Linked DNA regions of Kluyveromyces lactis. The protein of the gene in region 2 purifies or fractionates together with the protein of the main gene of each other region. This does not show direct contact. Links are inferred from orthologs where the notes say so. Each region holds a gene or a part of one and is shown on either strand. Other genes may lie near its edges.

Region 1 (3,826 bases), about 320 kb from region 2:
CTTTGATGTTCAGAGAAGTATCTCACTGGTTAGCATCATGACTGGTATAGATGTTTTCTTCGCTGGTCAAAGTCGAAAGAGCAGCATGTGACAACTATCAGGAATAATTTAAACCAATGGAATTTTGTCTTCAACACACGTTTTACCAAACTCGCTTGCCATGTATTTATCTATATTTGTCATGTCATCCTGAGTCATTCATGCTGAGTTCAAAGTCAATTCCGACCCTTCATTGTCGTTTAGCTATGAATCTTTTCTTATAGTGAAAAAGAAACTATTCCCGGACAATTCGTCAACTCCAGGAATCTCTATGATATATTCTATAGTTAAGGTACCGTCTGTAGCTATCATACTAATATCTAATATACCTCGAATGTATGAAGCGAGTTATCTTGGATCAAAATTTCTTTGTGCATTCATTTCATCATTCTAGTTCTTGATTTAAGGATCTTTCACCAGAAGTCATAGAATAACTCTTACAGAACCATTAAATGATTGAAGCATGAAAAAAGCAGTCGATACTTTTACGGGCTTAGCAAAATTATCCTTCTCTCAACCCTTTGAAGTTTAGTTCTCTGGATGGGACCCTTATTCTTTTGTCAAGCCATTTAGATGTACTAAAAATTAAAGAACTAGTCAATCAAACAAAAGAAAGACACATTATTCGACAAATACCGCGAGGAGTGTATATAGTTTTTTATTTATTTATTTGTACTAATACATGATATATGAGTTTTTCATTCCAACTTGGCTTTCTTGGAAGGTCTTTCAGACTTTGAGGTTTCACCTTCTGAATCGGAGGCGGATGCTTCTGAATCAAATTCTTCAGCGACATCGTCATCTTCGTCGGACGCATGGAAATCTTCATCTACAGATTCTTCATCCTCACCTGCAGAACCCATGTTAATATCTACATCATCATCATCGCTGTCTGAGCCGAAGGCAGTCTGCAGTCTCTGTTCTGCTTCCTTATCTTCGTTCTTTACCCTCAAGTTTTTGGACCTCAAGAATGTCTCTAGAAGTTGTTGTTCCTCTTTAGAAATATTAGCAAAAGTAGTAGTACCTCTATTGGCACGCATAACAACTTCCAAATCGAATGTTCTGGCTGATGTAGATGTCTGACCAGCTCTTGAAATATTGACCGCAGCAATATCTTGGAAGGGTATATATAGGGTTGGTTTCGTCAAGAACAAAAACGCATTGTCCAATGGGTATAAGTGGCCTTCATTGACTTTGTATGAACAGGATACCGCGCATTGGTCATACTTAGACTTGTATTCACCAGGAACAATGACTCTTCTTCCTGTCAAACCCTTTAAGACATGACTTAGTACAATGTGAGTTTTAGCATCGTATTGTTTCTTTAGTTTATCCTTGTAAAGCTTTTCGAACTCATCATCTTCCACATTTAGTTGGACTTCTGTTTCCTCGTCCTTCTGGAATTGTAACACCAAGAATGGGTAGGATGTCTGACCTTGACGGATTGGTGGATCAATCGATAAAACCATCAAGTAATGGATGTCGTCAGCTTTTGGCAAAGAGAAGATTCTGTTTATTTGACGATGTTGTAACTTGTACTCATAAGTCTTACCTCTAAGTCTGATAGAGTTTTTGTAGATATCAATGTCGTAACGGCCTCTTGGCGTAGTGAAGAACAGATCCTGGAAAGAAATGATGGCATCACCAGAAATTTCACCGATATCTGCCTTAGATCTCAATTCTTCGTAGAAATATTCTGCTAAAGTCTTCTCTTCTTGAACGTCTGGTTCTTCACTACCCTCTTCCGTCTTAACCTCCGACTTAACACCGTCTTCTGCTTCTGCTTCGTCCTTTACCATGATTTGATCTTGATCTTCATTTTCTTCAACTGTGCCTGGAACATATAACCTCATTTCAACAAGTTCATCACCTGCAGGATTATATGCCTCATTTTGGGTGTCAAATTCTAATGCAATCTCATTTTTTGCTGTTAAATTAGTGTTATTGATGTGCGTGTAAGGGATTTCAAAAGTTGGCTTACCGTTCAATGAAAAAACCATTTCGTTTCTAGCTAAGTCCAATTTACCCCAATTCCAACCACGTAAAGAATGTTCCCTGTGCTCTAATTGCATGTTGAATCTACGTTGGAAGTCATTCTTCAATAGGTTGAAATCCTCTTGTTGGAACCCATCCATTTGAATCAATCCCTTATTCTTAGTACTAATTTTCAATTCGTAGCCTCTACATCCTCTACTCCATTGAACGGAAGAAACCTCATCTGCAGCCAATAGCAAAGGTTCATTATTTTGAGTAGAGGCTGACCCACCTGTAGCGGATGCCTTCCAACCAAGACCTCCTTCAGCTAGACGGAAACGTCCACCGAGCTTGGATTGGTTGTAATAAATTCTATCGAAATCTGTACTCATTCTCCACTATCCCAATATAAGAAATAAAAAGTAGGTATCCAAGACGAAGATCACTAGATTTCAGTAATACTGACCTGTCTAACGTAAACTATGGGCTAACAACTCTGCCTACCGTTAACGGTTTCATATGTCTTCTTATTTGTTCATGTTTTAACAACATCTTAAACACTTTGGCGATTTTTCATTTTCATTTCTAGTAAAGTTTCCAATTCGCGTCACGTTGACAAGAGGTAAGATGGGGGAGTGAACGGAAAAGAGACAGTTTTTACACACGAAGAACTATCAGGTCGAGGCCCACCCCCCTGTTGCCGGAGGAACAATGTATGATACTGCAATTACCGCTAGGTCATAAATTTGGTTAATGTAGGAAGCTGTATATAGTTTGTTATAAAATAATAACTAGGTGGAAAGAATAAAGGAGGCAGCTCATTTGAAAATGAATCTACAATTTGGAATCAACACCCCTGAGGAATTCGACCAAACCGATAGCTCCTGGGTCCGGAATTGCTTCAGTGTCTTCCACGTAAGATGCACGGCCGAACTTGGCTTCTAAGTTTCCTGTAGATTCTGCACCTCCTTCCGCCTTGGAAAAGGCCTTATGGAAGTCCTGAGTTGAACTAAACTCTTTCACGAATGGCTCCAAGGCATCGATCATAGTAGAATCACCTGGCCTAGCTCTAGTATATTTACACAATGTCTCGTATGCAACTTCTAGCGATTTGGCGAAGGCTTCTTTGTCCACCGCATCATTTTCTCCGCATTGTTCAATAATTCCTTTTGAAAGGCCCGAAATGAATATAGAGTACAAACCACCGGATGTACCACCCATTGCGGATTCAATATGATCAGAAATTTCTGCAAGGGTCTGAGACAAATACTTGGAGGATATTTTATCCAAGTTTTCAGTGATTGCCTTAGCGCCAGCTACTAACGTATAACCACAGTCACCGTCACCAACTTGGTTATCCAAATGTGTAATATGAGGTTCACTTTTAATCAATTGATCGGCACCTGCCTTCAACAGCTCCGATAATTTCTCGAAGTCGTATGTTCCAGCCTTTTTAACGTCAATAACATCCTCGAGAATACCCTCGTCATATGTAGGAGATTTACCCATTTCGACATCTTTTATTGGCCATGCTGGCGCCTCTGTATGGTCGTTTAATAAGTCAAGCACAGATTTTACTTCGCTGAACTCCTTCTTGATAGCTCCAGATGACTTTGACGCATTGAACAACGTGATACTGAATCCATTTCCATTGAAAGATGTCATTAAAGTTCCGCAAATACTTTGAACTGGAGTAATGTCATAATTCTTTTGTAAAAAAGATTTCGTGATATCAACGATGGCAGTTAAGATGAAGTTAGACACACCACCTAAATTGTTGACAAGGAGAACTACCTCGTCTTTTTTATCAAAA
Region 2 (3,409 bases):
AAAGAACATATCTTCCTAATACTGTTGCTGTGCATTTTCGTTCATTCGTTCGCTCTTTTAACATGGTAATAACATAAGGGAAAGTGAATATGGGATATTTTTGGACGTATCTTGATAATAAAATAATTAACGAAAAAACCTCTCGGGATTTCATTCATTCATTCATACACAACGTAACAGTTCTTAGTTCTTCTTAGCCTTAATACCCATGATAGCATTTGGAATGTATAGCAATGGAGCAACAAGGGCCACAGTAAACAAACCCCAGAATGGGTACAAGTAGAAAGCCGATCTTGGATGTCTAGACCACAATGGCTTAGAAGAGTGTTGGAACAGCTTTTGTAGTTCAATAATTTTGCTTGGAGAAGGCATCGTTCAATGTTTGGGGCTATGATTAAACAAATGTATTGGCAATCGATGAACAACAAACAAAATATACAAATACTATGAATCAAATCGAAAACTGTATTCACCAAGTGTAAACTAACTATCATAACAGTTTATTTCTTCCAAAATTTTTTTTAATCTCAGTATCTGATATTCCCCTACTGGCTTTCGAGTGGTGTGAAAATTCAACTTCCCTCTAAACAGCGAAAACTCCATAGGCTGGGAAAAGATACGGGGACATTCAGGGTAACTGCGGGGTTGTTGCACGTGATGGTGGTTTACACGTGACTTTTAGTATCGTTAGAAGGTTGTACAAGGTGTATATACGCTGTTATTGTTACTCATCAGAGTCTAGGACTATGAGACGTTTCTTACGCGCGGAGTTGTTGTTGTTGTTGTTGTTGTTGTCTTGACTATGAGTGAGACGGATGGTGTGCGGTTCTAGTTCGTCGTTACTAGTACTTTCGTCAAGGGAGTCACCACTCGCGTATCCATCGTCATTATGTTCGTAGAAATCACTGTCGCGAGATTCGTTGTCATCGTCATCTGAGAGGGCAACAGATGCTCTACGGAACTTCCGTTCATCTTTCAATTCTTGTTCCTCTTCCTCTTCTTCTTCTTCTTCTTCCTCATCCACTATGAACGAATCTATCGATCCTCTATCTTCCTCTTCCTCCTCTTCTTCTTCTCCATGCATAAAGTTCCTAGGCCGTCTTGTGGGCCATGCCTGGTCCATCTCTGAACTGAGACTCTCATCTCCCTCTTCGGCTTCCAAATCGTGCACAGTACGTGCACTCTCGGCTCTATAATTGTCCAAATCTCTCTCAACCTCTTCCAGTTCTCCGTCAGAGTACTCATCCACATCAACTTCGTCGAAGTTCTGTGCACCCGCATTATAATTCCGTATCGTAGCATTGCAGTTAGGACACACGGGACCCTCAACTTCCCATTGGCAATTGCTACACCTTGCTATCCCATCGTCATCATCGTCTATGATGGCTTTGGCAGTATTCTTAAACACACTGTTGAATAGCGTTTCTTCCAACAGGTCAGACTTGTATTCAGCAACGGAGCATTCTCTTTGTGTGAGCAGTGATCGTACTTCGGAGGAATTCGATTTCTGTGGGTCCTCCGCTGCTATATCTAGCATCAGATCGACTATTTGTTGTAAGGCAACGTTCAACGATGGTTCATTGGTAATCACATTTCGACATTGCGGACACGTTAATTCTGATACGTTGGATCGATTGTTGTTCAACCAGTTATTCAAACATTCGTAACAATAGTTGTGTCCACAGCTCGTCATGACTGGTACAAACATATAATCGTGGCATATCGTGCATACTGTGGAATCAAGCACTCTGCCCACGATTCGTAAATGATCCGCATTGGATTTTTTCGGTATAACCGTATGTAAATGTCCGTTCATCTTGATAATGAGGTGAAGATCGAAGTTATCGTTTCTTAATATAAAGCGGGTTCGCCTGCCATCCAATTGAATAATGTATCCCTAATCATCTCGCGATGTATTGTTTCGCAATCGCAGCTTTTTAAAGGTTTTTTCCTGTTTTTGGTCTTAAGGGCTTTTCTTTTTAAGAAACTGAACGAAATAATGGCAACAATGTAATGCACAAGAGACGAAGATATAGCGTACGGCTAAGTAAGAGTTCTTATAATTGGGATATTATTCTCGAATAAATATACATATATCTTTACATATATTGAAATGCTGAATTAAATTTTGTTGTTGATGATGTTGATGCTAAGGTATATACGTCAGGCCTAGTTTTCATTCTCTCCGATATTCTATTTACAAGTGGAGAGATGACAATGGTAAGACGAGGACGCAGAGAAATATATTTAACAGCTCTTTATTTGAGCTTGTGTTGTGCCAGTGTCCTATTTCACAACCTCTTTGGGTGCCTTTCTATACTGCTTTTCCAGTTCCAACTGTTTTTGATAAGTTGAAGTCTGATGCTTGTATACTTCATGATCTAACCATTTTCTTAGATACGTCATTAACTCTTTGATGGCATCTAGCCCTTCAAGCTTGGTAAAGGCATATCTTTTTCGTAGTTTCTCATACTCCACTATCATTGCGTTGGTATCCTCACAATTAAATTTATCAAAGTAAGCGATGTTGTATTTCACAGTACTCAACAAATATTTAGTGACGATAACATGGGATTCGTTATTCAACTTCTTTAAAGTTGATAAAAATTTCTTTGGCTCCTTTAACCTCACGAAAAATGCAAGCAATGACCTGTATATGATATAAGTAGCCCTACTGTCCGTTGGGTCCCTGGTCACAATGCTCTTTGCAAATAATTTGTCACATAGGTATCTGCCTTTGTATCGAGACGCTAACATGGCCAATTGGATATAGTTCTGGAAATTCAATTCGCGTTGATGCTCCTTCACAAATCGTTCGATCATTTTTAAACTCTGAGATCTCATGATTTCATTAGGTTGTTGTGCTTTCCGTAGTTGATATGCTAATTTGTACAAGTTTGCACGTAAGTTTAGAATTTTGACCTTCAAAGGAATGGTCCTATACGAGCTCTTGAGCGTCGTATCCAAAATGTTACACATCGGTAAGTGGCCTTTGTTCACACAGAACTTTTTCAAGGTGTAGAAGAACTGAAAATTAGGCCTTATCCCTAACCTGGCTTGATCCATTATTATCGTTCTCGCACGGCGGTAACGACCGTTTTCTAAGATCTTCTCTACCCTTTTCAAAAGTTTAGTGTCGACCCGTTGTTCATTTCTTCTGGAAAAAGTGTCATCTCCTGTGACGTCCGAAGTTTTCTCATATGATTGCAGCTCCATGGAACGAGATAACCATGGGTACGTCCTTTTATACCACCTGTTATCAAATAATGATTTCATTTCGAGTTCTAACTCCGTGCGAAGGATAGGGTACGCTTGGAAAGCACATTCCCATATTTGGAAGAACAAATAAGGATCTAATATCAAATTATTGGACTCCGACTCTTGTATTAGTTTTATATGATCCATAAAA

What was found.
Region 1: the proteins of PSH1 (region 2) and POB3 purify together in Saccharomyces cerevisiae (affinity purification with mass spectrometry; 4 studies listed by BioGRID, with this or other methods). This does not show direct contact. The link is inferred for Kluyveromyces lactis from reciprocal best matches to the Saccharomyces cerevisiae genes PSH1 and POB3.

The regions. Positions count from the first base shown.
Region 1 is NC_006038.1:444,711-448,536, reverse strand, and holds POB3 (FACT complex subunit POB3), read right to left. Parts: upstream 2,406-3,826; coding exon 738-2,405; downstream 1-737. Other genes in the region: DAK1 (dihydroxyacetone kinase), read right to left, coding at 2,848-3,826. UniProt on the Saccharomyces cerevisiae protein: Component of the FACT complex, a general chromatin factor that acts to reorganize nucleosomes. The FACT complex is involved in multiple processes that require DNA as a template such as mRNA elongation, DNA replication and DNA repair.
Region 2 is NC_006038.1:766,215-769,623, reverse strand, and holds PSH1 (ubiquitin-protein ligase PSH1), read right to left. Parts: upstream 1,817-3,409; coding exon 725-1,816; downstream 1-724. Other genes in the region: COX7 (cytochrome c oxidase subunit VII), read right to left, coding at 184-372; PET111 (Pet111p), read right to left, coding at 2,287-3,409.